Linked DNA regions of Arabidopsis thaliana. The protein of the gene in region 1 interacts with the protein of each later gene in a pairwise test. Each region holds a gene or a part of one and is shown in the gene's direction. Other genes may lie near its edges. The genes, in order: PUP3 and GLR2.9.

Evidence for each region.
Region 2: the proteins of PUP3 (region 1) and GLR2.9 interact in a protein complementation assay, tested with the Arabidopsis thaliana proteins (one large-scale study listed by BioGRID).

What each region holds. Positions count from the first base shown.
Region 1 is NC_003070.9:9,850,138-9,864,988, reverse strand, and holds PUP3 (purine permease 3), read left to right. Parts: upstream 1-3,420; 5' UTR 3,421-3,554; coding exon 3,555-4,244; intron 4,245-4,320; coding exon 4,321-4,686; 3' UTR 4,687-4,698; downstream 4,699-14,851. Other genes in the region: PUP1 (purine permease 1), read left to right, coding at 435-1,142, 2,427-2,789; ATJ1 (DNAJ heat shock family protein), read right to left, coding at 5,012-5,096, 5,529-5,618, 5,941-6,010, 6,091-6,139, 6,284-6,340, 6,897-6,968, 7,402-7,493, 7,891-7,963 and 11 more; FIP1 (FH interacting protein 1), read left to right, coding at 12,689-12,914, 13,000-13,101, 13,514-13,785, 14,415-14,594. UniProt on the Arabidopsis thaliana protein: May be involved in transport of purine derivatives during pollen germination and tube elongation.
Region 2 is NC_003071.7:12,500,200-12,517,892, reverse strand, and holds GLR2.9 (glutamate receptor 2.9), read left to right. Parts: upstream 1-12,948; 5' UTR 12,949-12,974; coding exon 12,975-13,236; intron 13,237-13,861; coding exon 13,862-15,147; intron 15,148-15,278; coding exon 15,279-15,591; intron 15,592-15,747; coding exon 15,748-16,151; intron 16,152-16,237; coding exon 16,238-16,801; downstream 16,802-17,693. Other genes in the region: GLR2.7 (glutamate receptor 2.7), read left to right, coding at 2,000-2,282, 3,301-4,613, 4,727-5,033, 5,354-5,748, 5,854-6,414; GLR2.8 (glutamate receptor 2.8), read left to right, coding at 7,338-7,605, 7,997-9,306, 9,462-9,774, 9,954-10,348, 10,453-11,013. UniProt on the Arabidopsis thaliana protein: Glutamate-gated receptor that probably acts as a non-selective cation channel. May be involved in light-signal transduction and calcium homeostasis via the regulation of calcium influx into cells.

The sequences.
Region 1 (14,851 bases):
TTTTCTTCTCGAAATTTTGTTTTCTTGCTTTTTATACACACAACGAAAATTTAGCGTAACACAGAGAGACGATTTGTTTTTTTCTATCTCCACAATTCAACTCTTTCTTTTGTCATACTCAATGTATGTAGAGCAGAAAATAACACGTCTCTTTTTTTATCACGATAAAACAAAGGACCATCCTTAGTTGGAAATTCAAACCCTAGTAGTAAGTATAACGTTTTAAAATCGCAAACGCGCCCGCTATGTTATGTCCCACCGTTTTAATTTCCCAACTTCCTTGACAATGTATCACACGATCCAAAACCACAAACAAACAAAACACACACAAAATGAAAAACATATAATTGCTCATTGACCCCTCAAGCTGATGAGAAATATCATCAAAAAGGCCAAAACAGAGGACAACAAAAACAGCAAGCAGCAAGAAGAAGATGAAGAATGGTTTGATAATCATAAACTGTATTATCCTCACTATAGGAACATGTGGAGGTCCTTTGTTAACTCGTCTCTACTTCACCAATGGCGGAAAACGAATCTGGTTCATGAGCTTCCTATCAACCGCTGGTTTTCCAATCATCCTCATCCCTCTCTTGGTCTCCTTCCTCAGCCGTCGCCGCAGCAACCGCAACCCTAACAACGCGGAAAACAAGCGGAAAACAAAGCTCTTCCTCATGGAAACTCCTCTGTTTATCGCCTCCATTGTCATAGGGTTGCTCACAGGACTTGACAACTACTTATATTCTTACGGATTAGCATATCTGCCAGTTTCAACTTCATCGCTCATAATCGGAACTCAACTAGCTTTCAACGCTCTCTTCGCTTTCTTGTTAGTCAAGCAAAAGTTCACTCCGTTCTCCATAAACGCCGTCGTTTTGTTGACGGTTGGTATCGGGATCCTTGCGTTACACAGTGATGGAGACAAACCGGCTAAGGAGAGCAAGAAAGAGTATGTGGTTGGGTTCTTGATGACTGTGGTTGCAGCTCTTCTCTATGCTTTTATATTACCGCTCGTTGAGCTAACTTACAAGAAAGCTCGTCAAGAAATCACTTTCCCACTTGTGCTTGAGATTCAGATGGTCATGTGCCTTGCTGCTACTTTTTTCTGTGTCATTGGCATGTTCATCGTTGGAGATTTTAAGGTAAGAAATTTACAGTTTTTTTCACGTTGTGTTTTTAGTATAAGAGAGAGTATCATGGGATGATCTTGATAAAAAAAATATTATGCAGATTTTGATGAAGACTTTAGCTGAGTTTTTGGATTCTCTATTTTTAATGTTTTTCTAAATTATATAGTTTTTTTGTTCATTTTATGATAGAGGCCAAAATTTAGTCTGGATTCCCAAGAAATGAGGAATACTAAGATTTGTTCTTTTGTATTATTAATGGAGAAAATCCATGGAAACAATTATATATATAGAAATTATTTCAGAATCATTGGTACTAGACTATACTAGTCAACCAAGATATATTGGTATCTGTATTTAAACATTTTCTAAATACATATGGATATTATAGAATATTTAACAATTTTAATATAGATTTCCTGGTTATAATAAAATATGTGATTTTATGTAATATTTGTCTTCCTGATCTTTTATTAAAAACAAATATTATATAAAATACAAGATAAAGGTTTGAGCAATTTATAAAATATTTAACAATTTCAATAAGGTTTTATGTAATACTAGGTAATCACCCGCGCTACGCTGCGGTATTTTCAGATTTTTTGTATCGTATAATTTAAATATAATTTTTAATTATCTAATCATTTACTTATGTAATAAGTAATTATTCTTAGTATTAAAATATATTTTTTCTAACAACATTCTCAACAATGCATTATACACACAATTCCTAAACAATGTTCATCTTAAACTAATTAAATAGAGGGTAATACTGGAATTCTCGAAACCTAAGAATTTGATGATTAAATTTCTTACATACTCTTCACCCTCGGCGATTTATTATATAGATATATAACAATATGCAAACTATTCAAACTATTAACTAATCCATGACTACTATACACTCATAATTTGAGTTAAGATTACAGAAAAAAATCTTCTGAGTATGAGAAAACCAATAAAATTATTTTATTGAACAACATGTAATAACAAAATAAATTTAGTATTAGTACAATTAAATATGTAAAATTAAATAATAAATACATCATTAATCTATAAATTAAAAGTTGAAAGCTTACATTAATTATTATGTGGACACATGGCACATGTTAAAGTGATGATGTGTCAATCATATGGAGAGAGTTGGCCAACTTTCATATATATGATTTGTCTTCCTTATCTTTTATTAGAAACATTATTTAAAAATTGTTCAAACCTTTATCCTGTATTTCCATATCTATTTAAAATTATGATTAAACTTGAGAATCAACTAAAATCATCATCATACATGTTTTGTAGGTGATAGCAAGAGAAGCAAGAGAGTTCAAGATTGGAGGATCAGTGTTTTACTATGCATTGATAGTGATCACAGGAATAATATGGCAAGGTTTCTTCTTAGGAGCCATAGGGATTGTGTTTTGTGCATCATCACTAGCTTCTGGTGTTCTGATAAGTGTTCTGCTTCCGGTGACTGAAGTTTTCGCCGTCGTTTGTTTCCGGGAGAAGTTTCAGGCAGAGAAAGGTGTCTCTCTACTTCTTTCTCTTTGGGGATTTGTCTCTTACTTCTACGGCGAGTTTAAATCCGGCAAGAAAGTTGTTGATAAACCTCAACCGCCGGAGACAGAACTGCCTATTCTTCCTGTTAGTGATTATGTTGCTTAATTTCTATAACTCTATAGGATTATAACAGAGCATTACTGTTATGTTTTGTTCCTAATATTATGTGTGATTGTGTGTTTTGTTATTGTTCTTGTGTATAAGTATGAATAAATTTGAAAGATATTGAGCTATTTGATAAATGCAAATTTTAATACACTTGTAGTAGAAATAGAATGATAATGATAAGTAAAAGATAGGATATTTCGTATTTGATAAAATCACATCCTATTTATCGATTTTATAAAATAAACATTTCACACTTTTAATTTAAGATTAATATAATTTATCTATTTAATATAAAAATTTGTATATAAATCAAAGAACTAATATAGAAAGAAGAAGAGAAAACAAAAGAGATAGAGTCAAAGAACCAATTAACCATCCTTAAAATCTTCTAATTATAGAGAGAATTATGAACTGAAAATCTTAATGTCATTGCACTAAATTTAGAAAGAAATAAATCCAATAATCAAAACTGTAGAATTTGATGGAAACGTAAATTAATATGAGAGATATGATATTATCTGGTCTATAAGATAATTACTACGTTTTTTATACGAAATTAAACAGTTAGCAAAATTTATGGGTATAAAATAGGAAAAGTCATGTTTTAGCCATTGAAGCCTCGTTAGGTAAAAAGAAACACAAAGATCTATCACGACAGAATCTAAAACCGGACCAAATTTGTTCCAAAACACAGCAACACCAAACCTTATAACTAACTCCTTCGACCACCAACCTTCATTATCCACAAGAAATCAGACAAGAATGGTGAAGGCTCTTGTGATCATAAACTGCATAATTCTAGCCATAGGAAACTGTGGAGGTCCTTTGATTATGCGTCTCTACTTCAACAATGGCGGTAAAAGGATTTGGTTCTCTACGTTTCTTGAAACTGCAGGCTTTCCTGTTATCTTCATTCCTCTGCTCTTCTCTTACATTACCCGGCGCAGAAGCAACAATGTGGGTGATAGTACAAGTTTCTTTCTTATCAAACCGCGTCTTCTTATCGCCGCTGTTATTGTAGGCATTCTCTCAGGGTTTGATAACTACTTGTATGCATATGGTATAGCTTATCTTCCAGTTTCTACAGCTGCTCTTATCATTGCTTCACAGTTAGCTTTTATAGCTATCTTCTCATTCTTCATGGTTAAACATAAGTTCACTCCTTTTACCATCAATGCTGTTGTGTTGTTGACTGTTGGTGCTGCGGTTTTGGGAATGCATACCGAAACTGATAAGCCAGTTCATGAGACTCACAAGCAGTACATAACTGGTTTCTTGATTACTGTAGCAGCAGCTGTTATGTATGCTTTCATCTTGCCATTAGTGGAACTTGCTTACCAGAAAGCTAAGCAAACCATGAGCTATACCCTTGTGCTCGAGTTCCAGTTGATTTTGTGTCTCCTTGCTTCTATTGTCAGCGTCATCGGTATGTTCATCGCTGGTGATTTCAAGGTTAGTCACTCTTTTGAATCTGAAAACATACAAAAGAGTTTTTAACAGAGACTTGAGCCCTTTACTGTTTTTGCAGGCCTTACCAAAAGAAGCAAGAGAGTTCAAGCTTGGAGAGGCATTGTTCTATGTGGTGGCTGTGTTTTCAGCCATCATATGGCAAGGCTTCTTCTTGGGAGCCATTGGATTAATCTTCTCCACATCGTCTCTCGTCTCGGGTATTATGATATCAGTGCTTTTGCCAATTACAGAGGTTTTAGCTGTTATATTCTACCATGAAAAGTTTCAAGCTGAGAAGGGACTTTCTCTTGCTCTCTCCCTTTGGGGCTTTGTCTCTTACTTTTATGGTGAGATAAAGTCTGGCGAGGATAAAAGGAGAATTCAGCAGGAGGAGAGTCAGGAGACAGAACAATCTTCTTTGTCAAGACCCATAAGTGAGTGTTAAAACTCAACGAAGCATGGCTTTTCGTTTAAAGACATCATAGCACTCATTTCTCCGCCAAGTAGATTAGAAGATATGTTTGAGAAACTTGTGGGATTATGCCGAAAACACAATCTTAAAGGACTTTTTTTTTTCTTTTCTTTATTTCAGCTTAACTTGTTTGATGTCTCTTATTATTCACATCAAATGAGTTTGTAATAGAATTATGAGGTCAAACAATGACACTCTCTGTTATGCTGGTGAGCTTTTTGTTCTACCAGCAATAGATGAAATTAGTCTTCATTTGTCTTCTGTTGAATGCTTTTATCTTTCATCTCTCGTGGTGGCTTCATCCCATTAACCTGCTCAACAATAGCGCCAGCAGCACCATTAACGAGAAGTCGCGGATGATCTGAGGACCCGTTAGATTCCACCTGTAAGTTCAACCAGTAGAGAGCTTCTGGTAAAGCCTGTTTGGTTCATATTCATGATTCTTCATTACTATAAGGAACAATCGCTAGTGAGGAAATAACATTCAGTTGAATCAAAATGTAAAGAAAAAGCCCCAACAGACATTTTGGCTTTCTTACACTGTTTCCCTTAGAGCTTCTAGTTATTTCTTATAAGAGAACCTAGGTATCTCATTTTTCAATTATGTCTTGTTGTTATCTACATATCCGCCTTTTCTAACTCTTATTTCTAAGCAGGCCTAGAAAATGTACCAGTAATGTATAAGCATCACTAATTCTTCTATTGTAACCAACTACATTCCTTTGAGGTGAATTATACCAGATGTCCATTTACGTCTAACCATCTAATATTACACACAATATGCTGTTATAAACACAATAATAAAATTTACTTACCAACTTCCTTCAGCAGAGTCGCTCAACTCATTGTTGATTTCTTCCTTTGCAAACTCTTCCAGTATAGCACGCTGACGTTCATTCACTTCACTAGTAGATACAAGGAAAAAAGTAAACCGCATAAGCATATACCAGAAATCTATCAATATTAGCTCTTGACGGAAATGAAAAGAAGAGAATCCAACACATCCACATGCCACCAGAACATCAAGAAGCTTATGTAATCAGATTTAATAATCAGACGGCAGGGAAATTAACACAATGTTGTCCTAGGAAAATTATTTCAAAAACCGTAACTTTAGAGCAACAAAGTGTCTTTTCCATTCTAAACACTAGTAGAGTTTTTAGCATAGCATAATGTGGATGTCTCCAACAAGTGTATTACTTGAACTTCAAGTAAAAGAAATCTTACGTAGGAAAGTTAACGCGGAAGCGAACATACTGATCTCCATGATCTACAAAAAAGCCTTGCTTCGGTAGTCCTGCAGGAACTAACCTATTAAGAAGAGTACACGCAAATACACAAAAAAAATTGAACATATAGGCTGATAATTATATGTACCTTTGCCTCTTAAAACAAGAAGTTGATCAGGCTGAGTCCCCTTTGGTATCTGCAACAATTACAATAAGGTACCTCTATTATCTCCAAAGCCTTGAGATCTAACCTTCCTCTTGGTCAGAGGATGAAAACCAACTTGACTCAAATTATAAACAAACAAAATATTATATGAATCTCACTGGGAGACGAATCTTACATCTAGCTGTATCTTGCCTGAAAGTGTTGGCACCACAACTTTGCCCCCCAAAATAGCCTGTCAAATAAGTTTTCTAAGACATGTCCAGTATGGCTCAAGGGAGAAATAGTAGGAACAACGTGAACCATAAGAGATGAAAGGATGCACTATAATAGAAAAATACTGCAGCCGAGGTACTATGGCTTGGTGGCAAAATAGTGCAGTAGCATGCACTTGAGTTTTATGACTGGGGCCATCAAATTGAGTTTGAACCGATATGCCACATTATCTAGTTTAGAGAATAAGCGCATCATATACATAATGATAAAGATGCTACTAGCTAATATTATTAAACCTAGTAGTTTAGTAAACTTTTGGCACATAAACCAGTTGAATAGGACAAAACTCATTAATTTTCAGCTAGACTCCAGATAACTTTTCTCTAGTTTATGTCCTCTAAGAGGTTTTATTTTATCATAGGACATGCCTAAATTATGTTACTGCAGAGCTTTATCAGCTAGCAGTTAAGGCTTTTGAGTTTTGACCACAAAGTGTCACCATGCAGAAAAAACATGAGTTTCGAAGGTACTGCTCTGCTTATAACCCAAAATTCAGGATTCACCAGTGTGCTTACTTGTGTAAAGCTAATATTAGCATCCACATATATATCTGAGCCATCCCTAGTGAAAGTTGAATCATTAGCAACCTGTGACCAAAAGAAGATTAGATACGTGTCAATAAAGGAAAATTCAGCATGCAGTAAGACCCTAAATGAGGCAAGAATGATGATAGAATTGAAGAATACTTTACAAGAGAGCATGAACAATTGATTCACTGGATGTAATAAGTCTTGATTATATAGTGACGCAACAAACAAAGTAGAGTAGCAATCACATATAAATCTGTGAACATTGGTTTAGATCATTTTTGAAATGAATTCGTTCAAAGTCAATATATGACTTATAACATGACTTTGCCACTTATATTAACTGTTTTATCTCTTAGGTTAAATTGATCAATGGACTTAAATGGTAGACCAATCATCAACGTCAAGGGTGAGTTTGATTCAAACTTCTCTAGGCACGTCTTACAAAATATACAAGTACAAATTTGAAGAAAATACAGATGCTTTAACAAACCTTTAGTTTGATATACAAGTTCCCAGGTTGACTTGTTCTTGAACTTACATTACCAGCACCTACGATTGTGATTGTAGCTTCAGACTCCACCCCTGTGGTCAAGTACAGAGAGAAGAAAGCAAATTAAAGTTTGACAGAATTTTGTCATCAAAAACCTATTTCACTATCTAATCCACCAAAGTCATGTAAGATGATAATCGGAAATCACAATCCCAAATTCATTGTTTCATCTTTGCCCCAAAATACCAAGCACAGAATTAACCAGAAAATGTAAATTGCCAAGCATAATCTTAGAAAAGAAAAAGAAAAGCCAGTCAAACAATAAGTGTGACCGATATCTAAATTGGATTACATCTAAACCACACAAATCCTCAAAGAAAGGAACGTAACAGAGTGAATGAAATCTTGCTACTCGTTCCATAGCAGACAGACATGTTTGGAATCAAAACCAAGTTAAAGATAAACAAAAGCATGAAGATTTAGACTAACCTCCAGGGATCACAAGTTCAGCTGTCTTTGTGCCTTCCACAATACCTGATCCTCTACAAGACATGCAGTATTCCTGAAGAAATAAACACATATATACTCGTAACCAGTGCCAGAGAGATAACTACTGAAGCGTCAATAAAGTAGCTCTTTTTCTCAAACCTTAATAATGTGTCCCGTCCCCTTGCACGTCTGGCATGATGCTGTAAAAGGAGGAATAGTTACCTGTTAAAGAGACAGACAGCATAGTACTGTAAATAGAAATTGTATGATTTATTAACCCTCCAAAGAAAATAAAACTTATATCCTCTAAATGGTACTTACTCGTCCAACCCCCCTGCATGTTGGACAAATGCTCATGGCAGCATCGCTAGGGTGGCCAAGCCCATCTGTAAAATGATAAACAATGCGAGATTGGGATTCATGGTTTTGCAACAATATTACTTTCACCCAACTGAGTTTACTCGTCCTCTCAAAGTTGGCTGAATCAGTAACTTTTTAAAGACAGAAGGCTGTAAATGTTACAAGAATAAAATTAAAAAAAGAAAAAAAAAAAAGAGACAACAAACTGTAGATACATGTACATTAACATCGATGGATCACAGAGCCATTTCCAGAAGTCTATTCTTCGTTAAGAAAAATATTTTACCATTTTGGGCAACTGAATAATAATGTACCATGACGAGTTAGGACTCCTAATTTAAAGTGTCTATACTCTCAAGTATCTTTACAGGAAATCTTGCGAGCCATGACTGGCTTGTCAATATTAGTAAATGCAAAAGAGACAATATAAGAAAACTTCTGTGGCCACTCACCACAGGAATCACAAAAGACATATGCATCAAAAGACAAACGTTTTGTGCACCCTTCTGCAGCTTCGGAAAGAGAAAGCGACAGTTCCACCTATTCAATTTTTAACAATATAAACATGTGTATTACTGAAGAGCCCTACACAACAAGATTTATATAAGTCAACCAGATTCCAGTTGTATAAATAAAAGAGAGAATCAGAGAAACTGACCCGAATATCAGGTTTTATCTGATTGTTCTCAAATATCTGAATAAAGTTTACTAATGTTAGAGATTTAACTAATCACATAAAAAGATGAGCAAAAGGGAAACATAATAATGTACCTCAGAAAAAATCTTGTGGAAAGTATCCGAGAAATTGGACTGGTATGCACGTCTGAACCTCTCTGAATCACCACCGTCATTATTTACATAATCCGAATTCCGATACTGCAGCTGGATCGAGTGATAACATCAAGAAATATATTTAGTGATCTCGCCACCAGATAAATAAGAATAAAAACAACAAAAAAGCGTACCTTATCATATTCTTCTCTTCTTTCCGAATTTCCCAGGGTCTACAGTTTTTTAATCCAACACAAAAGTATATCAGAAGATACATTCAAAATACACAGATGATGGCAGATGGAAAAGAAAAAACTACCTCATATGCCTCTCTTATTTCCTGGAACTTCCTTTTTGCTGACGGATTATTTCTATTTGTATCAGGGTGGAATTTTTTCGCAAGCTGCAACAATTGTGCATTCACTCATCAATTTTGAGCAGACAACTTTTACTAATAGTTTTTGCTTGATGTAAAAAAATGTTTAAAGCTGAAGAACAGTCCACTAACAATGAGCCGAAAGACTCACCTCATGAAATGATTTTTTAATCTCCTCCCGTGTAGCTTTAGGAGAAACACCGAGAACATCATAGTAATTACGAGCACTGGAGTTGTTTATACCTGAGAACCATTATCCAAAACCAAAAGCATTTAATGAATAAAATGATACAAAACATCATTTTATTCATTAGCGTGAATGCAAAAAAACAAGACCTGTAGCGTGAATGTATCGCTCGAACAACGGCTTCTGAGACCCTGCAAAGAGTCAAAACTTCCAAGTAATGAATGCATATTTCCTATAGTCTGTAGATAAACACAAACATCAACTGGAAATTCCCTCATGCCCCTAATGTTAGCTACCACGGAGACCTCGAGATTACATTTCGATTCTTTAAAATCAACTCTTGAGTTACCTTTAATAGTGCCCAATACTTTGATACCCCTTCCTGATAAACCCTAAAACCCCATTTCAGCTAAAATTATCACTACATTAGAAATTCTAATAAACCCCAAAAAACTTGACATTGTCGTTGGTCTGTTGCATATACACCTAAATCAGCTCAGAGAAGGCGATAAACCTCGAAGAGCATATGAATGTCAGTTTTTGATTCCTTTTTGAAACAAGCAAAAATTGACGAAATCAATAACCCTAGTTTAACAACTTTTATACATTACCTTGACGCAATCCGATCGCGGAATCAAAAGTTCTTCGAGCTTGTACATGCCGCAGAACCTACGATATAAACATAAATTACAAAATGATTTCAGCTCTCTCGAGGACTCAATTTCAAAATTGAAAGGAAGAAGAAGAAAACGATGAAGCTAAATCTAGAGAGGGATGAAGAAAACAAACCCAGTTGAATCTTCGCATGACTCTTGTGAATTCAAAGCTAAACAGAGAGGAAAAAACGGAGAGGTTTTTGATTTTGAGAGTTAAACCCTTAGACCATTTCCATGATAAATTCCAAACAAACATAAATCAAAAATATTAAAATAATAATTTTTTAATCAGTTTTTTTTAGAATATTTTCTGAAATGAGAAACTTGGAGAAATTTTATCTCTCTTCCAAATGTCATCTTGTCATTAATTTCTTTTCTTTGTTATAAATAAAATCATTTATATTTTATAACATCAATTAAATACTTTATATGTTTATTTTTTTTTTTTTTTTTACTTTTAAAATTCATAAAATTAAATTATCTATATAACAAGCTCTATTATATATATGTTTAAATTATATACGAATATTATTTAATTGGTGTTAGTTAAGCATTAAACATAATAATAACTTATAAATACAATAGTTTTTTTTTAATTAGAAAACAAACATTTAAAATTTTCTATTTTTATTTTACAACATTTTTGGCAATCGAATTCGACTTCGTGATAGAGATATGCACCAACAACTAAAAGATGACCTAGTTGAGCATATATGACAAAAGTTTGGTGCATTATCAAATGAAGAGTAAAACCATAATAGATAATATAGTTAGTTTTGATTTATGTTATCATGGTTTTATATGTAATTTCTGTGTAATTTATATATTTTTTCTATTTAATTTATGTTATCATGGTTTTATATGGAATTTTATGTTTAATTGATATATTTTTTATTATGATTTTATATGTAAAGTAATGTTTAATTATGTTTAATTATGTTTAATTATGGTTTTAAAAATAATAAAACTATTTAATAATATAATTGTAAAAATAATAATTGATATGTTTGAAAATATTGTAGAGATTTTAAATTTAATATAAAAAACATATAATAATATGTTAATGTTAATGAGATACTCATAAGAGTATTTCACCAATGGAAGCACAATTTTAGTATAAGTTTCTCTACTTAAATTAAAATATTAATAATATATTATGAGGTACTCATGGAGTATCTCACCAATGGAGATGCTCTTACGCATATGCTGACGAGAGACGAGAGAAGAGACGTTCGCTAAATCTTTTGCTTTCTCGCCACTACGTCCAGAGTCTCTCTCTGGTTCAGAAGACTCGAAATGGGTTAAACACGTATTCTCTCATTCTCCGTAGTTAATTAATTTAGTGAAACGGTAAAAACAAAATGGTAAAAAATTGGCGGTCGTTATTTTGTAGCGGTAAAGAAAATAGTGAGTTAGACTATTTACAAGTTAACTGTTTGAATTAAAAGTTGAAAGTGATTTGGAAAAAGATGTTGTAGAATTTCTTCAACACCGTTAATTTTGTGAATAAAATCCTTGTACACATATAGTCTTAGAAAATTTGGAAAAAGGTTTGATAAATGTAACTTAGATGCTGCTTGGATTATAAAAAGTAAGCTTTATGGATACGGACTTGAGTTCCCAAGATCATTTAGGTTCAATCTGATTTTGAGGTTTATATAAGAAGCTTCATTTAAACCGTTGAGTGTTTGAGCTATATGAAACTTCAAAAAAATGTCATTCGTTTAAATACCATCAAGAAGAATGTGAATCAACTTTTCTTTTTGGATGAAAACTAGTTTTTTGATATGGTAACTATGTTTTCAACACAACAAAATTTTATCGTCGAATGTCCGAAATGATAAAGACACTCTTAACCTTCATCGGAAAAAATAGCAATTTTTTGTGGTATATCAATAGCGGTTACAATCTAACTTGTTTTGTTGTTGTTATTATGATTAGAACTGTCAATTGGGTGGACCGCATGTGGGTTTTTACAGTCCAAATACACACGGACGGATTATGGTCTGGACTCCAAACTAAAAAACATAAACCAAGCAATCAAAAAGTTAGAATAAGATATTTTTTAGTTAAAACAAAAATCGTAAGTGAAGAAGGTCTGAATTTCTTGAGGAAGATAAACGGGCACAAAACCGGTGTACATACATGGATTATGGATATGTTCTAGAGGAAAGGTATAATTGAATACTAGTATCCGTTACAGAAACTAATTGCATTAAGTTTCGTCTACTGTTTAAGACCGCACGAGATATATATGTTAGACCGACTTTGGGAAAGAGGCTACTTAAATTATTTACGATTAATAATGCCAACGTAACGCGGACAGACATTTTAATTCAATTATTATTTGTTGCCTGCGAGATTCGAACCATCTCTTATTTCATTACTTAACCCAAACCAAAAAAATAAAAAGTTCATTTCGAAAGAAGAAGAAGAAAACATCAAATCATGAGTGGGCAAGAGAATCATGATCATGGCCGGATCTCTTCTACGCCCGCCGCCGCGTCGGAGCCTTCCAAGGCTGCTGCTCACTCCTCTGACTACGCTCCTTACCCTAAGCTCGATCCTACCGACGTCACTCCTCCTCCTCCTCAGCCTATTCCCACCGGTGCCGCCGCAACCACCATGCCAGCGGAATCCAATCCTTACGTTTCTCCTTCCCCTGCCCCAAGGAGTGAGTTCTTCTTCTCTCTATCCGATTTCGCATCCTAATCCAATTTCTGCCTTTGATTGATTGATTGATCTTGGTTTGGGGACAGATACGATGGATTCGGTGAAGGATACGTTAGGGAAATGGGGGAAAATGGCTGCCGACGCCACCAAGAAGGCGGAGGATCTCGCCGGAAATTTTTGGCAGCACTGTAAGCGCTTCTTCTTCTTCTTCTTCTTCCCCCTCGATTAGATGAATTACCAATTAATCTGATTACCGTCTCTTGGAGAATACGATGGTATTGGTTATGCCCCTTCTGGTTAAGTTAGTGTTCATCAATTGGCGCTTCTTCGGAATTTTACTTCGCGTTCAACCACCGACACTAAATCTAGCCAACAATTTTGATATTCATGCTCTTCCGTTTGAGTTTAAGCCAATTAGTTCTTTGTATCTGGTTATTGCCTTTGACTCTTGAAGCTTCTCTAGTATAGGTTGTTTTGGCTTTATTTCTCCGCTTGTGTGATGAATTAGTATTATATACATATGGTTGGAGGGAGGGATGATATTTTATATGAATTGAGACTTGAGAGTATACGTTTTGATATCTATCCTTTCTTTTTCAGTGAAAACAGGCCCAAGTGTAGCAGATGCTGCTGTTTCACGAATTGCTCAGGGGACAAAAATACTTGCAGAGGGTGGATACGAGAAGGTCTTCAAGCAAACATTTGATTGCCTTCCTGATGAAAAACTTCTCAAGACCTATGCTTGCTACTTGTCTACATCTGCTGGTCCTGTCCTGGGAGTTATGTATCTTTCGACTCACAAGCTTGCGTTCTCTAGTGACAATCCTCTCTCTTACAAAGAGGGTGAGCAGACCCTGTGGAGCTATTACAAGGTATACTCGCTCTCTATCCTATGGTTACTTTTTCTTTCTAACTCTTTTATTTTATATCTATTTACATCTAAGAAAACTATTTGAGAACAAAGATTCAGCGAATGTAATATTTGATGGTGACATGATAAAGCGTTAAGTGAGTTAAGTCATTTTCAATGCATCTATTTACATAGATTCATAGACTATAACAAATTTTCTTGTCATTTCTAGTTATTGACGTATAGAACGTAGTGTGTGTACGCTTATAGTAAATGGAAACTACATAATCATTCTAACGATATTGTTGAGTAGTTGCATGTTAGTTCCTATGTAGACAATTAGGACTTTAGTGGTTTGCCTAAGAGAGTAAGCTAAATCTTGTAGCATTCTTGATAAAACTAGGGGAGCCATTGAATAATTGTTAGTTTGAGAGTTTGGACTGGTTCTAATGTAAACATCTAACATGAGCTGAAATCCTATTAAACCAAGCAGAAAGCTTCTTGACAACATGATCTTTGGAAAACTGATTTTAAGATTTGGGTGGTTCTTGAGAACCTTTTTTCGTTCCTTGAGAACCTTGCACTTGCAGTCTATTTTCTGTCATTCTTCCTTGTAAAGTCTGTGGCTGATGATTTTGATGTGATGATCAGGTGGTACTTCCGGCGAATCAGCTGAAGGCAGTGAACCCATCAACAAGTAGAGTGAACACATCTGATAAATACATACAAGTGATTTCCATCGACAACCACGAGTTCTGGTTTATGGGGTTTGTGACTTATGAAAGCGCTGTGAAGAGCCTTCAAGAAGCGGTGCAGTCACATGGTCCGTGAAGGTCCACTGGTATAAATGGCAGCTCTTAGTGATATTGTGCATTAATATATGGAACAGTGTGTTTTAGTATTTGATACCATTTCAATGTGTTCTACATTTTGTCCTCTTGGCGTTTACTCATAAACATTGCTTTTGTTCATTTCCTTTTGTATAAAATTATTTCTTATTTTTTTTGAGGGAACCTTGTCCTTTAGATCTAACATTCATGATTTGTATTCGTGTTCTAAGTTGGATTCGGTCTTTGGTTTTTGATGAG
Region 2 (17,693 bases), on another chromosome or scaffold:
CAAAATGATGCGTATCATTAATTCTATAGTTTTAAGAAGAGAAAATATAGGATATATTTAAGAAGACAAAAATGTTTACATACACAAATGTGATTGTAAAAGTCACATCTTACTCAAAAAGTAATAAAAAATAAAATAAAATAAAAATATATGGAGAAAAAGGACACGAATCTATATAAATAGATGCAACTTTTTTAAAGGGGGATTGACAAAAAGGCACTAAAAAAACTCTCCTTTTGACGGGCGATGTCTCAAGGGAAATCTTGAATGTGACTCAAAGCGAAGAGATGAAACAGCTCGAAAAGATTTGGTTTGAGAATCAAAATTGTCCTCATACAGACAACATTGTCGTCCCACCGTCTCAACCTTAATAGCTTCTGGGGTCTGTTTTTAATAGCAGGCCTTGCTTCAGTCATGGCACATCTCGTCTTCATAGCCAACTTCTTGTACGAACATAGGCACACGCTAAATGAGGAATCGAAAATTTCCTTTTCCAGAAAGCTAACATTTTTGCTTAGAAACTTTGATGAAAACGACAGAAAATCGCACATGTTCAAGGAGAGTGCAATTCATAATGTGAGTTCACCTTTTAGTCAAACCACTCCAAGACCTTCAACAGTGCAGATCACACCATGACCACGAAGTCCGTCGCAAAATATGCAGTTTGAGCCAAGATGTGTATCTTTTGAAAGCAAAGAATTTTTCACTCCCCAATTAGAATGTATAGCTAAATGATAAATAGAATTTCAAAAGTTGTTGAAGCATTTTGATTACTTAGCTAATTTTACTGACTTATTTTCATATTTTTGTGTGTTAGTCTCTTCTCAAATCTATATATAACCCATGATATACTCTATATTTAGCACTTTATCATGGTTATTAAGATCCATTTTATGGTGTTTCATTAGTATTTTCATTGTGGTTTGTTGCATTTAGTGTCCAAGTGAGTCTTCTTGCATTTTAGAAGTCCTATAGTTACTGTGTGTATTTTGTGTCTCTTTTGAGATATTTCATGTTAAAATAATGGAGGACACACATTTAAATGCAAAGAAGAGAATTGATGATTCATAACCTATCTGAAGTCTCTCAAAGATCGACTCGGATGAAGTTCTTTCATTGAGATTTAGCTTTGGACCTCTTTATAATGGTTATAGGAAATTGAAATAGATTTCCAATGGAGGTGATGTTTCATGGGTATGTGAGCTATTGGTAGAGATTTATGGCTGATTTTCGTATACATATGTCAATCTATCGCAGAAAAGAAACTCATCTAGAAACCTCTCTTAAAAACGGACAGAAGCTTCTTCGACCTCCACCTTCGGCCCCAACACCACCAAAGCCCCTCTCCGATCACCATCGTCGTCCATGACACAACCGAAGCCATCTCTTTTTAGCTTTGATCCAAATTGCAACCGGGTTGTAACCCGGTTTATCTCGTCGATCCGGTCAGAACCTATTAAGCAAATTTTAGACATTTGTTAATAATAAAATTTTCACTACAAAAAAAATAATATAGTAATTTTCCAAAAAGGTTTTTGGTTCGTGTTACATTTTCTGAGATGATCCATCAACTTACAATTGGCATTTTCTTTCTCTCTCTCTCTTAGTAGGATATTCACTAGCGTAAAATCACTCGATTATGACCTTTTATGTGTATGAAACGGTCTTGCTAGCTGGAAGAAAAATATTAATCTTCCGTCAAACAAGTAAGAAGACTGAAGTTGGAGATTTTTCAAAGTAAACGTATGTAGCCTAAAAAAAAGGAGTGACAATGGTAGAGAATAATGACAAAAAGCGAGCTCATATTATCGTCCATACAATTTTTTTCTGTCACTTTCAAACCTTAACTTCGTTTGTTTTCTTTTACATTCTTGTTTTCATATTTTATTTTATCTCTATATATGTATATATATATATGTATGTGTGTGTGTGTATATATGCAATAGAACAATAAAAAAGAAGAGGAAGTTAAAGAATGACATAAAGTTCCTCAATCTGGATGAAAGTGATGAACCCTAGAAAAACTAATAATACCTTTATGTATTACTTTGTCCTGTTCGTTTGTGGTTTTGTGTTGATGGAGGGTTGTTTAGGACAAAACCAAACAACTGAAATCAAAGTAGGAGTAGTGCTTGATCTCCATACTTCATTTTCCAAGCTCTGCCTCACTTCCATTAACATATCGTTGTCCGATTTCTACAAATATCATTCTGATTACACCACGAGACTTGCGATTCACATTAGAGATTCCATGGAAGATGTTGTCCAGGCCTCATCTGCAGGTTCGTTCCTTCTCTGTCTCTTGCATCTTTATTTGGATTTATTATCAGTTTATGTTGATTGTTGGATGAAACATGTACGCTCTACTTAATTACGAATATAATACAGCGTTTGGCCAGACATGATTTAATATCTAAGGGCTACTATTTTCTTTTAGTCTGACCAATCTTTTCCATGGCTTCAAAATTTAGGCTATTTCCATATATAGTAGCCATATATGCATAGCTATTATCAACCTTATTGGGTTCAGACAAGCAACTACAATATCTAATTTAACAAAATAAAACGTTTCAGTAGCTATGAATTTATGCCGGTAATCAATTCCTAACTATTTATTTTAAAACAAACTAAATAATTAATGATGAACATGGTAATTATTATTTTCCCCAAATTTGCTACAAATCTATGGTTTGGTAGAAATTTGTTTTCTACTAATTTGAAGCAATTCTTGTCACTTTTTTTGTTTGGTTGTTTGACATTTATGTATGACGGATAAGGATTTTGGTGCTACTGGGTTATATGTCAAGTGGCGAACGGACTCTAACAGTGGGTGGTGAAATGAGGGTCTCACACTAAAAGATTAATCAATTATTGATTTCCTGAATAGTTTAATTCGATAATTTGATATATTATTGTTTATTAAAAGTTTAAAACTAAAATAGAAAAAATAAGATATGACTTTCCGTAGCATATGGATGTGGTAGTAAAATACAATTAACTTTTAACATTACGTTGATAGTGTGATTAATGATTTTGGACGGAAAATAGGTTACAAAGTAGCATCTTTTCAAATTAAATTTTGCAATATTTTTATAAAATAATAAACCATAATAAAGTGCTAAATATAGAGTAAGACACATTTGATATTTTCATTTTAACTCATGCGTAAACATTATTTGTATGATAATTTTAATTCACTCATTAGTTCCCAAAAATCTGATAAATTTTAATTTACTATTTAGTGATAAATTTAACCTCTATAATTTTCTTATTCTATTTGTTTGCTTGTGGTGCAAGCAGCCTTGGACCTAATCAAGAACGAGCAAGTGAGCGCCATCATCGGGCCAAGAACCTCTATGCAAGCTGAGTTCATGATAAGACTCGCCGATAAATCACAAGTACCGACCATCACATTCTCTGCAACATGCCCTCTTCTGACATCCATCAACAGCCCTTACTTTGTCCGAGCCACTCTCGATGACTCATCCCAGGTCAAAGCCATTGCGGCCATTGTCAAATCCTTCGGGTGGAGAAATGTAGTTGCCATTTATGTGGACAACGAATTCGGAGAAGGAATATTGCCATTATTGACTGACGCTTTACAAGACGTGCAAGCTTTTGTAGTCAATAGATGTTTGATCCCTCAGGAGGCTAATGATGATCAAATTCTCAAGGAGCTTTATAAGCTAATGACGATGCAGACGAGGGTATTCGTTGTCCACATGCCACCAACTCTCGGTTTTCGTTTTTTTCAGAAAGCTAGAGAGATTGGTATGATGGAGGAAGGATATGTATGGTTATTGACAGATGGAGTGATGAATTTGTTGAAATCTAATGAACGCGGTAGCAGCTTGGAGAATATGCAAGGGGTTTTGGGTGTAAGGAGCCATATCCCCAAATCGAAGAAGCTCAAAAATTTCAGATTGAGATGGGAAAAAATGTTTCCTAAGAAGGGGAATGATGAAGAGATGAACATTTTTGCGTTAAGGGCATATGATTCGATCACTGCCTTAGCAATGGCCGTGGAGAAAACCAATATAAAGAGCTTGCGGTATGATCATCCGATCGCTTCAGGAAATAATAAGACAAATTTGGGGACATTAGGGGTCTCTCGCTACGGTCCAAGTCTTCTTAAGGCTCTTTCGAATGTAAGATTCAATGGTTTAGCCGGAGAGTTTGAGCTCATTAACGGGCAGCTAGAATCATCAGTGTTTGACGTCATCAATATTATTGGAAGTGAAGAGAGAATTATTGGATTATGGAGACCAAGCAATGGAATTGTTAATGCAAAGTCAAAAAACACTACGTCGGTTTTAGGGGAGAGGTTGGGGCCGGTGATATGGCCCGGTAAGTCGAAAGATGTTCCGAAAGGTTGGCAGATTCCAACAAACGGAAAGATGCTTAGAGTGGGCATTCCAGTGAAGAAAGGCTTCTTAGAATTTGTGGATGCAAAGATAGATCCGATCAGTAACGCAATGACCCCAACGGGTTACTGTATTGAGATATTCGAAGCTGTTCTTAAGAAGTTGCCTTACTCCGTCATTCCTAAATATATTGCTTTCTTGTCTCCAGATGAGAACTATGATGAAATGGTATACCAAGTATACACCGGGGTTAGTTCGTCTATTTCTACTATGGTTCTTTTACTTTTACTTTAACTTTCACCGTGGATCATGTCTTTTTTCTTTATATGTGATTTCTAACATATCATTAACATTCGGGTCAGGCCTATGACGCAGTTGTGGGAGATGTAACCATAGTAGCAAACAGGTCATTGTATGTCGATTTCACGCTACCGTACACAGAGTCTGGAGTGTCTATGATGGTACCCCTCAAGGACAACAAGAACACATGGGTGTTCCTCAGACCTTGGAGCTTAGACCTATGGGTCACCACTGCTTGCTTTTTCGTATTCATTGGGTTTATCGTGTGGATTTTAGAACATAGAGTCAACACCGACTTTCGCGGACCGCCTCACCACCAAATAGGCACCAGTTTTTGGTTCGCTTTCTCCACTATGAACTTTGCCCACCGTAAGTAACATCAATCAAGAACTAAGTCGGAATAGCCTAGTGGTATTTGTTCGAGTCTTAGTTTATTCTTCTTTGTGGGATACCGCTAGGAAACGAGTCCCATCTTCTATGATCATCATTAAAGTTCAACCTTGGTCACTATAGAAACTTTTAACCGGCAAGATTTCCGACTTTATGTTACAAAAATTGGCAGATGATGAAAGAACTCTAAATACGGTTTTTATATAGTAGATATTGTATCTCAAATTATTATCAATAAGATGTTCCAAAATAAGAAACAAGATAATAATGATATACTTACAACTTGTTTGCGTGTATAGGTGAGAAGGTGGTGAGTAATTTAGCGAGGTTTGTGGTGTTGGTGTGGTGCTTCGTGGTGCTTGTGCTGATTCAGAGCTATACAGCGAATCTCACATCTTTCTTCACAGTAAAACTGTTGCAACCAACGGTTACAAATTGGAAAGATCTCATAAAATTTAACAAAAATATTGGGTACCAACGGGGCACTTTCGTGCGTGAACTTTTGAAAAGTCAAGGATTTGATGAATCACAGCTCAAACCTTTTGGTTCTGCCGTAGAATGTGACGAGCTTTTTTCCAATGGGACAATCACAGCATCTTTTGACGAAGTGGCCTACATTAAAGTTATCCTTTCTCAGAATTCCTCCAAATATACTATGGTTGAACCATCCTTTAAGACTGCTGGTTTTGGCTTTGTAAGTTCTTTTACCCTTACACTAGATACAGCCAAAGAAGTACGTATATTGATGATATAGGTATTTTCATTGCTTTGATTTTCTTCTTCCATGATCGTTGTGTAGGTATTCCCCAAAAAATCACCTTTGACGGATGATGTCTCAAGGGCGATCTTGAATGTGACACAAGGCGAAGAAATGCAACATATTGAGAATAAATGGTTTAAGAAACCAAATAATTGTCCAGATCTAAACACTTCTCTGTCCTCCAACCATCTCAGCCTGAGTAGCTTCTGGGGTCTGTTTCTTATAGCAGGCATAGCTTCATTCTTGGCACTTCTCATCTTCGTGGCCAACTTCTTGTACGAACACAAGCACACGCTCTTTGATGACTCCGAAAATTCTTTCCGTGGAAAGCTAAAATTTTTGGTTAGAAACTTTGATGAGAAAGACATAAAGTCGCATATGTTCAAGGAGAATGCCGTTCATAATGTGAGTTCACCTATTACTCAAGGAAGTTCAAGCCCTTTGACCGATCAGAGCACTCCATTGCCGCGAAGTCCGGAACAGTATAGGGAATTAGAGCTAAGAAGAGTGTCTTCCATCTCGAGCGGTGAACTTTTCACTACGCAATCAGAACAAGTTGAAGATGAGGAATCTGCTATAATTCAATGTGAAGGTGAATGATAGAGAGAAGTTGCTAAAGTGCATAACAAGTTAGCCAGTGTGGTTAATGCTTTCTTTTAGGAGTACTTTCTTTTCTCAACACTTGTATTCCTATGTTTGTTTTCAAACTCAATGTCATAGTTAGATTTCTGAATTTGGATTCTAATCTTCTTCCTTTTTGAGTTATATAAAAATTAGGGAGATTATGAAAATAACGCAAAATTTTATAATCTGCAAAATAACACAAAAAACTATTAATCTTTTGACATGGATGTCTTTCTCGATCTCATTGTTTTGGAAAAACCAAATGTTGACAAAACTAACATTTGTTTTGGATCTGCCCACATTATACGTCTTCATGTCTCCGAGACGTGTAAGAAAATGTGGTCCTCCAACAGCCAATACATTGTGTTTGATGTGAAATATGGCATACCCAAAAACGCGTTGAACAAACGAAATTTGTTTTAATACAAATATCCTTGCACTAATAATATGATAAAATAATATATTTTTTTAAATTACTCTTGCACTTAAAAGAAAGAAAAACACATTGTGAAGTTTCAAGACAGAGTTAGCCTTCATAACGGAATTGTTAGGCAATCTTTCCAACTGAAGTACAAATTTTAACTTGAATCATCACGAACCATGTACCTCAATGATTAAGGTAGTTATATAACTCGTATAATAGAAATTTTGTAGCCTTGCTTTGCCGAGAAACATCTTCGGCAATGTCTCATGACTAAATCAAACCATTTTTTATTTTTTTCTAGTCAACACTAATCTTTATTATTTTATCACTCTTTTCTTGATGAGTACCAATTTTGTTATAGCATTGTAAAGTCTTCCAAGACCTTTTCAAACCTATTTATTTCCTCTGTATTTATAACAGAAAAAGGGAAGTTTTAGAGAACCACATAACTTGTCTGTCTCCTTATCTTTGGATAATGATGAACCCTAAAAAAAACAATAACACCTTTCTGAGCTACTTTGTTTGTTTGTTTTTGTTGCTCGAGGTTGGTTTAGGACAAAACCAAATAAGTGAAATCAAAGTAGGAGTAGTTCTTGATCTCAATACAACATTTTCGAAGATCTGTCTCACTTCTATTAACCTGGCGTTGTCTGATTTCTATAAAGACCATCCTAATTACCGCACAAGACTTGCGCTTCACGTTAGAGATTCCATGAAAGACACTGTGCAGGCTTCAGCTGCAGGTTTGTTACTTTTATGTCTTTTGCTTCTCCGCTACTTGTAAGGGATCATTTGGATTTATTAATTATTAGTTGCAGTCGGATGAAATATATTACGTAGGATCGTCTTTGGTAAGAGCAATCTCTTCATTTTCTTTATTTTCTAGAAAGTCTTACTACTATTCCTAGTAGCCTCTTTAAAATATTTAATTCATGAGTTATTATAGTATATTAGAATAATAACTAGTCAATGACTATTGGTAACATGTCATGTGATACCTATACAATGAAGATTTGAATTCTTGTGCAAATTATTATTGTCTCATTAATTATCATCAAATATTAAACTACTGCTGTTACATTTAGTGAAATACTAACATGTTTTTTTTCTTTGGTTTGCTTGTGGTGCAAGCAGCCTTGGACCTAATCCAGAACGAGCAAGTGAGTGCCATCATCGGACCAATAGACTCTATGCAGGCAAAGTTTATGATCAAACTGGCCAACAAAACTCAAGTACCGACCATCTCATTCTCAGCAACAAGCCCTCTTTTAACATCCATCAAAAGCGATTACTTCGTCCGAGGCACTATCGATGACTCATACCAGGTCAAAGCCATTGCAGCCATATTTGAATCCTTTGGATGGAGAAGTGTCGTCGCCATTTATGTGGACAACGAGTTAGGTGAAGGAATCATGCCTTACTTGTTTGACGCTTTACAAGACGTGCAAGTTGATAGAAGTGTGATCCCCTCGGAGGCTAACGATGACCAGATTCTAAAAGAACTTTATAAGCTCATGACGAGGCAGACTAGGGTTTTCGTTGTCCACATGGCATCACGTCTTGCTTCACGGATTTTTGAGAAAGCTACAGAGATTGGGATGATGGAGGAAGGGTATGTATGGTTAATGACCAATGGAATGACTCATATGATGAGACATATCCATCATGGTCGTAGCTTAAATACTATAGATGGCGTGTTAGGTGTGAGGAGCCATGTCCCCAAATCGAAAGGGCTCGAAGATTTCCGTTTGAGATGGAAAAGAAATTTCAAGAAGGAGAATCCATGGCTGAGGGATGATCTTAGCATTTTTGGATTATGGGCGTATGATTCAACCACTGCATTGGCCATGGCCGTGGAGAAAACCAACATAAGCAGCTTTCCGTATAATAATGCGAGTGGCTCGTCAAATAACATGACAGATTTGGGGACGCTACACGTCTCTCGCTATGGTCCAAGTCTTCTAGAGGCTCTCTCGGAAATAAGATTCAATGGTCTGGCAGGAAGGTTTAATCTCATAGACAGGCAGCTCGAGTCACCAAAGTTTGAGATCATAAATTTTGTCGGAAATGAAGAGAGAATTGTCGGATTTTGGACACCGAGCAATGGACTTGTGAATGTAAATTCAAACAAAACAACGTCATTTACAGGGGAGAGGTTTGGGCCATTGATATGGCCAGGGAAGTCTACTATTGTTCCTAAAGGATGGGAGATTCCAACTAATGGTAAGAAGATTAAAGTGGGTGTTCCAGTAAAGAAAGGCTTCTTCAACTTTGTGGAGGTAATCACGGATCCTATCACTAACATAACAACTCCAAAGGGTTACGCCATAGACATCTTTGAAGCTGCTCTTAAGAAGTTACCATATTCAGTCATTCCACAATACTACCGTTTCGAGTCTCCGGATGATGACTACGATGACTTGGTCTATAAAGTCGATAACGGGGTTAGTTTCTTGTTTTTCTTAAATAAAATCTAAAAGTGCAAGCAATTCTATGTAAAAGCAGTTAGCAATGAGTAGACTGAACTAGTCTTAGATATAATAGATTATGTCTTTTTATAATATATTAGATCTCTAACAAATTATTAAAAATGAAACAGACTTTGGATGCAGTTGTTGGAGATGTAACCATCACAGCGTACAGATCTTTGTATGCTGACTTTACCTTACCATACACAGAGTCAGGAGTGTCTATGATGGTGCCGGTGAGAGACAACGAGAATAAGAACACATGGGTGTTCCTCAAACCTTGGGGCTTAGACTTATGGGTCACCACTGCTTGTTTCTTCGTCCTCATTGGTTTTGTTGTGTGGTTGTTCGAACATAGAGTCAACACCGACTTCCGTGGACCGCCTCACCACCAGATCGGCACTAGTTTTTGGTTCTCTTTCTCCACCATGGTTTTTGCCCACCGTAAGTTCTTACACCAATAATGATAAATGTTAACTTTCTTTTGAAAACTATATTATGTAAAATGAGACTATTGTTACATTGTTTATATATTAAATGTCAACTTATTTTCAATGTGATAATTTTTTTATTAACAAGAATCAAGATCCTAATGATGAAGTAATTTGTGTGTGTGCATATAGGTGAGAAGGTAGTGAGCAACTTAGCAAGGTTTGTGGTGGTTGTATGGTGCTTTGTGGTGCTTGTGCTCACTCAGAGCTACACAGCAAATCTCACCTCTTTCTTGACGGTGCAACGTTTTCAACCAGCGGCCATAAATGTGAAAGATCTCATAAAAAATGGGGACTATGTAGGCTATCAACACGGGGCTTTTGTTAAAGATTTTCTAATAAAAGAGGGATTTAATGTTTCTAAGCTCAAGCCTTTTGGGTCTTCCGAAGAATGTCACGCGCTTTTGTCCAATGGTAGTATATCAGCAGCTTTCGACGAAGTTGCTTACCTTAGGGCTATCCTTTCTCAATACTGCTCCAAATATGCCATTGTTGAGCCTACATTTAAGACTGCTGGTTTTGGCTTTGTAAGTTTCTTTTTTTTTTCCCTTATATATGAAAATTTCAAACTAGGAAAAAAAAAAAAAGACAGTTCGAGTATTCATTGCTTGTTTCCTTGATCAATGTGTAGGCATTCCCCAGGAATTCACCTTTGACAGGAGATGTCTCAAAGGCTATCTTAAATGTGACTCAAGGAGATGAAATGCAACACATCGAGAACAAATGGTTCATGAAACAAAATGATTGTCCTGATCCAAAGACCGCTCTTTCGTCGAACCGTCTAAGCCTTCGTAGCTTTTGGGGTCTGTTTCTAATAGCAGGCATTGCTTCATTCTTGGCACTACTCATCTTCGTGTTTCTTTTCTTGTACGAAAATAGGCATACACTATGTGATGATTCCGAAGATTCGATATGGCGTAAGCTAACGTCTTTATTCAGAAACTTCGATGAGAAAGACATAAAGTCGCATACTTTCAAGAGCAGCGCTGTTCATCATGTGAGTTCACCTATGACTCAGTACATTCCGAGCCCTTCAACTTTGCAAATCGCACCACGGCCACATAGCCCATCACAAGACAGGGCGTTTGAACTAAGAAGAGTGTCATTTACCCCGAATGAAGAACGGTTAACTACGCAAACTATACATTTTGAAGATGAAGAATCTGATATTGAATGTGTTGTTGAACAATAGAGATAAGTTTAGAAGATTCCATAACAAGTTATAGATAGGATAAGCTAAGTTCGCTGCATATATTCCTAACAAAGCTATTATTCTTTTATTTATAACAAAGTTTATATTAATAGGATTGCATTGCAAAAATATAGCAACTCTAAAAACTTCATATGTACATAGTGGCAAGTGACTTTAAGGAAAGTTCCTAGTTCCAAATAAACGAGGATAACTATTCGCATCCATTCCCAACCAGGGTCGTGAAAGAGGGCTCTGGTCATTCATGATCCATCCACCATGCGTGATTCTTACATCTCGGCCAAAAGATCCAATAATTTACTATATCATTATTTGCAAATGCTCATAGCTCTACAATATCACAATCTCAAGCAAGAAGAAGCGTAACAGAGGAAGAAAGATAAAGGTACACATAGTTATGTAAAAGCAATCACTGCCTTTCACGAAGTGGTTGTCCTTTAGCGAAACCCTCTCTTCGAATTGGAGACTTTTTTAGCTTTATAACCCAAGCTAAACAACTCAACGTCCTCCAGTTACCCTTTAATGACTTAAATCGGACCAAATGCATTTCAATTTAATCAATTCTTCAACACAACAGAATTTTAAGAAATTAGACTATTGTATATCAACCATAAAAAATTGTTTATGTCGTCATCACCCACGTAAATGTAGATTCTTCAGTTATATCCAAAATCATGTACTGTAATTTAGGATTAATGTATTTTCATTGTTTTGGAAAAAATAATGTTGACGAATATTTGTTTTCGATTTGCCCATATTATACGTCTTCTTGACCTATTCTCGAACATGCGTAAGAGAATGTTGTTCTACAACGGACAATCATATTGTGTATGGCATAGTTGAACAAACTAAATCTGAATAAATCCAAACTAAGAAAATTCCGTTAATTTCCGACTGCTCGTAAAAAATAAAATTAAAAATCTTGGAGGGAAACTCACTTCACTTACCCTATATTTTTTAATTTCTGTATGCTAATTCCACCAAAGTACACATATCTACAAGATACACTCTTCTATAAAACATTTATTTATTTTATAGTAGTACGACAATTTTTGATACATTTTATTTCTAAGAATTCTTTAAAAACGGTTCATTGCATTTTTTTGCGTTAATTGTATGGACATATCTACATATATAAGCTATTTTTAGTGTTTTTGTGTGCAAGCATATAATTATTCTCAACCATTTTTTTTAATTTAATCCTATTACATTTCCCAAACACATTTTTGCTTATTCTTATTCTCTTTAAAACACATATATTTCCAAATATTACCTCTAACCTATTTCGATTATTGTAATTCCTATTGCAAAACACATTTGAAAATTCTTAAAGTTGGCCAAAACAATTATTAAAAAATTATAATATTTAAATTTACCATTAAATCTGGATAAAATGTATATATTCTTTTTATATAAGAAAAGCTTACAATAGTATTTATCTCGTGCATTAGCATGGGATGGATGTATAAAACATTAGTTTTTTTCTTCAGAAAGGCTATCCTCAAAAATAGATCTCAAAAAGGGTTAAGAATCTTATTTTGCACAATTAACTCTTAATTATTTCAATTATGATATTATAATATGTCAATTACAATACTAAAAGTAAAAAAAAGAAAGAATTGCGATCCTTATATTTTATAAAATAGACGATTTGGTTATTTAATAAGTTATGGGTATTTTGTAGTTTGCTTTTCAAAGAGAATTCATCTGCAAAAGCCTCATTTGACTCTTTCAAACCAGTTTTATTAATTTCTAGTCAACACACTTTTTTTTAAAAAAAAATCGATATGTCTCTTTCGTTGAGAAACCAATTTTTGGCATAGTATTTCAAAGTCTTTCATTGATTATAAGTATCTTTCAAACCGATCCTTCCACTGTATATATATAACAGGAAAAAAGTAAGTTAAAGAATCACATAAAGTCTCCTCAGTTTTGGGGCGATTATGATGATGAAAACTAATAACACCTTTTTGAGTTACTTTGTTTGCGGTTTTTTGTTGATGGGGGTTGGTTTAGGACAAAACCAAACAAGTGAAATCAAAGTAGGAGTAGTTCTTGATCTCAATACAACATTTTCCAAGATCTGCCTCACTTCTATAAAGATGGCCGTGTCCGATTTCTACGCGGATCATCCAAATTACCTCACAAGACTTACGCTTCACGTTAGAGATTCCATGGAAGATACTGTTCAGGCTTCAGCTGCAGGTTCGTTACTTCTCTATGTCTTGCTTCAGCTTCCCGTCATTTTGATTTATTACTTATTAGTTGCGGTTGAATGAAACATATTACGTATAGACATGGTTTAGCTAATTACTATTTTATTGAATGTGACCAATATTTTAGATCAGTATTAAAAATCAAAGTATCATATGGGGGTATATGCTAAGAGTCTTGGTGACGATTTATCTTTTAGACTATACTTCAAAAACCAAGTGTATTCTTATGTGGTCTAATGTCTATGGTAAGAGCAATCTCTTGATAGAGAAGTCCAATTTTTTTCTCTTCTAGAAATTCATGGTGACGGTTGTATGGTCGCAGAAATCCTGATTACTATTAGTCTCGTTAATTATATTTAACTCATGAGTCTTAATATATTAGATGAATAGTCGAAAACTATTGGTGACATGTCTTATGATACCTCTACAATTTTAACTATTTATGTAAATTAATATTGTCTTATTACTTTGCAACTAGAGCTCTTTTGGACTCGACAAACATGGCTTAGCCTTATAAGTTGTAACTCTTCCATTGAAAATGGAAGATATTATATCCAAAAACAGAGGATATTTAACCTTTCTTCTTTTCTTTATGTTGCTTGTGGTGCAAGCAGCCTTGGACCTAATCAAAACCGAGCAAGTGAGCGCCATCATCGGACCAATAAACTCTATGCAAGCAGATTTTATGATCAAACTGGCCAACAAAACTCAAGTACCGACCATCACATTCTCTGCAACAAGCCCTCTTTTGACATCCATCAAAAGCCCTTACTTCGTCAGAGCCACTATCGACGACTCATCCCAGGTCAGGGCCATTGCGTCCATTTTCAAATTCTTTAGGTGGAGAAGGGTCGTCGCAATTTATGTGGACAACGAGTTTGGTGAAGGATTCATGCCTTTCTTGTTTGACGCTTTACAAGACGTGGAAGTCAAGAGAAGTGTGATCCCTCCGGAGGCTATCGATGATGAGATTCAGAAAGAACTTCGTAAGCTCATGGAGAGGCAAGCGAGAGTATTTGTTGTCCACATGGAATCAAGTCTCGCTTTACGGGTTTTTCAGATAGCTAGGGATATCGGGATGATGGAGGAAGGGTATGTATGGTTAATGACCAATGGAATGACGCATATGATGAGACATATAAACAATGGTCGTAGCTTAAATACTATAGAGGGCGTGTTAGGTGTGAGGAGCCATGTCCCCAAATCGAAAGAGCTCGGAGATTTCCGTTTGAGATGGAAAAGAACATTTGAGAAGGAGAATCCATCGATGAGAGATGATCTAAACGTTTTTGCATTATGGGCATATGATTCAATTACTGCATTGGCTAAGGCTGTGGAGAAAGCCAACACAAAGAGCTTATGGTATGATAATGGGAGCACCTTGTCAAAAAATAGGACAGATTTGGGGAACGTAGGGGTCTCTCTCTATGGTCCAAGTCTTCAAAAGGCTTTCTCGGAGGTAAGATTCAATGGTTTGGCAGGAGAGTTTAAACTCATAGACGGGCAGCTCCAGTCACCAAAGTTTGAGATCATAAATTTTGTCGGAAATGAAGAGAGGATTATTGGATTTTGGACACCAAGAGATGGACTCATGGATGCAACAAGTTCAAACAAAAAAACGTTGGGGCCAGTGATATGGCCAGGGAAGTCAAAAATTGTTCCAAAAGGATGGGAGATTCCAGGGAAGAAGCTTAGAGTGGGCGTTCCAATGAAGAAAGGCTTCTTTGATTTTGTTAAGGTAACCATAAATCCGATCACTAACAAAAAGACCCCAACCGGTTATGCCATAGAAATCTTTGAAGCTGCTCTTAAGGAATTGCCATATTTAGTCATTCCTGAGTACGTCAGTTTTGAGTCTCCAAATAACTACAACAATTTGGTCTACCAAGTATATGACAAGGTTAGTTTCTTTTTTTCTACTTACAAACAAAAAATTCTAAACATTCACAAAATCATATTGTAAACCATTTCCCTAATTTTATGTCTTTTAGATGTTAGATTTATAACACATTATACTAATATATGAAGCAGACATGGGATGCAGTTGTTGGAGATATAACCATCACAGCGAACAGATCTTTGTACGCTGACTTCACGTTACCGTTCACAGAGTCAGGAGTGTCTATGATGGTGCCGGTGAGAGATAATGAGAATAAGGACACATGGGTGTTCCTCGAACCTTGGAGCTTAGAGCTATGGGTCACCACCGGTTGTTTCTTCGTCTTCATTGGTTTTGTTGTGTGGCTATTCGAACACAGAGTCAACACCGACTTCCGTGGACCGCCTCAGTACCAGATCGGCACTAGTTTATGGTTCTCCTTCTCCACCATGGTTTTTGCCCACCGTAAGTTCTTACACCAATCAAGAATCTAATAATGATAAATATTTACGTTTTGTAGCTTTTATCTCCAAACATAATTACATTGTCAATATTTTTTAGATATCTCAACTTATTTTATGATTGTAATGATAAAGTGAAAACTTGTGCATGTGTATATAGGTGAGAATGTAGTGAGCAATTTAGCAAGGTTTGTGGTGGTTGTCTGGTGTTTTGTAGTGCTTGTTCTCACTCAGAGCTACACAGCGAGTCTCACCTCTTTCCTCACGGTACAAAGTTTGCAACCGACGGTCACAAATGTAAACGATCTCATCAAAAATAGGGATTGTGTAGGGTACCAAGGTGGTGCTTTCGTTAAAGATATTCTATTAGGGCTAGGATTTCATGAAGATCAGCTAAAGCCTTTTGATTCTGCCAAAGATGCCGACGACCTTTTGTCCAAGGGGAAATCAAAAGGTATCGCAGCAGCTTTCGACGAAGTTGCTTACCTTAAGGCTATCCTTTCTCAATCCTGCTCTAAATATGTCATGGTTGAACCTACATTTAAGACTGGTGGTTTTGGCTTTGTAAGTACCTTCTGTTTCCTTTCTATGTATTTTTACAAAATAAGGGGACAAATAACACATGTTTTGTTTCCATGATCAATGTGTAGGCATTCCCGAAGAATTCACCTTTGACGGGAGAATTCTCAAGGGCTATCTTGAATCTGACACAAAACAATGTAACGCAACAAATCGAGGACAGATGGTTCCCGAAAAAGAATGATTGTCCTGATCCAATGACCGCTCTTTCGTCCAACCGTCTCAACCTCAGTAGCTTCTTGGGTCTATTTCTAATAGCAGGCACTGCTATATCTTTTTCATTACTCGTCTTCGTGGCTCTTTTCTTGTACGAACATAGGCACACTCTAGGTGATGATTCCGAGGATTCCTTGTGGAGAAAGCTAAAGTTCTTGTTCAAAATCTTCGATGAGAAAGACATGAATTCGCATACTTTCAAGAACAGTGCCATTCATAATATAAGTTCACCTATGACTCACAAGACTCCGAGCCCTTCAACTGTGCAAATCACACCATGGCCACAAAGCCCATCACAAAACAGAGAGTTTGAGCTAAGAAGAGTGTCATTTAGCCCGAGCGAAGAACGCTTCACTACGCAACCGATAATACATCATGAAGATGGAGAATCTGATATTGAATGTCGAGTTGAACAATAGAGATAGATGTTTTACAAAACTACATTAAGAAGTTATAGATGATTATTTACCAAAAAAAAATTATAGATTCTTCCATGAAAATTAATACGATTTTATTTATTAAATTGTTATTATAGATTTATATAGAATTCATCTTTCAGTGCTTGCCTACTCAATATTTGAAAGAAGATACATCAAACGCACTTCTATTAATTAAAGTTTGTGAAGCAAGTAACATCAGAACAGAGATGTCTACAAATAAAAGTAAGAACATTTATATTCTTATAACAATATACATAAGACTTAATATCAAACCCAAAAAGAAACAGAAAAAGAAAAAAGACTGACGACGATAACTTAAGAAAATTTCATCATTATGCGATCACCGACCAAAGATGAATAGATGATTATACGAATAATATTAAGACTTTTAAAAAACGAAGGGAAGTTTCTTAAGGAAGAGGAAACGTTGAAGTGTGAATAACTGAGGAGTTCCAGCGAAGCGGCTACTGCATTTTGCAGTGATCTGAGGTTCGTATATGCGTACGTGGATTTCTAGGGATGTCACGGACTAAGTTATTTTTATTTTAATCTTCAAATGTCATTTGATTTATATTTTAAAGATCCTTCTCCAACTTATCCACTACGCAGCCCTTTCACCACAACGAACGACCATATACGTCAATTTTAAGTGATTCATTGACTAAAGATAACGTTAGTTTAAAGTATTTAATTTACCAAGGTCCAAGATATGATGAAGTTTTCAAAAATAGTTTAGAAAATAAGGTTTTTGGTGACCAGAGTAAATTTTATTTAAAACCTTGCATTTTATAAAGGTAAAAGATCGTCAAATATTCTTTTTAATCCATTCGTTATAGAAACTATTAATTATTTAATCGTTTTCTTAATCATC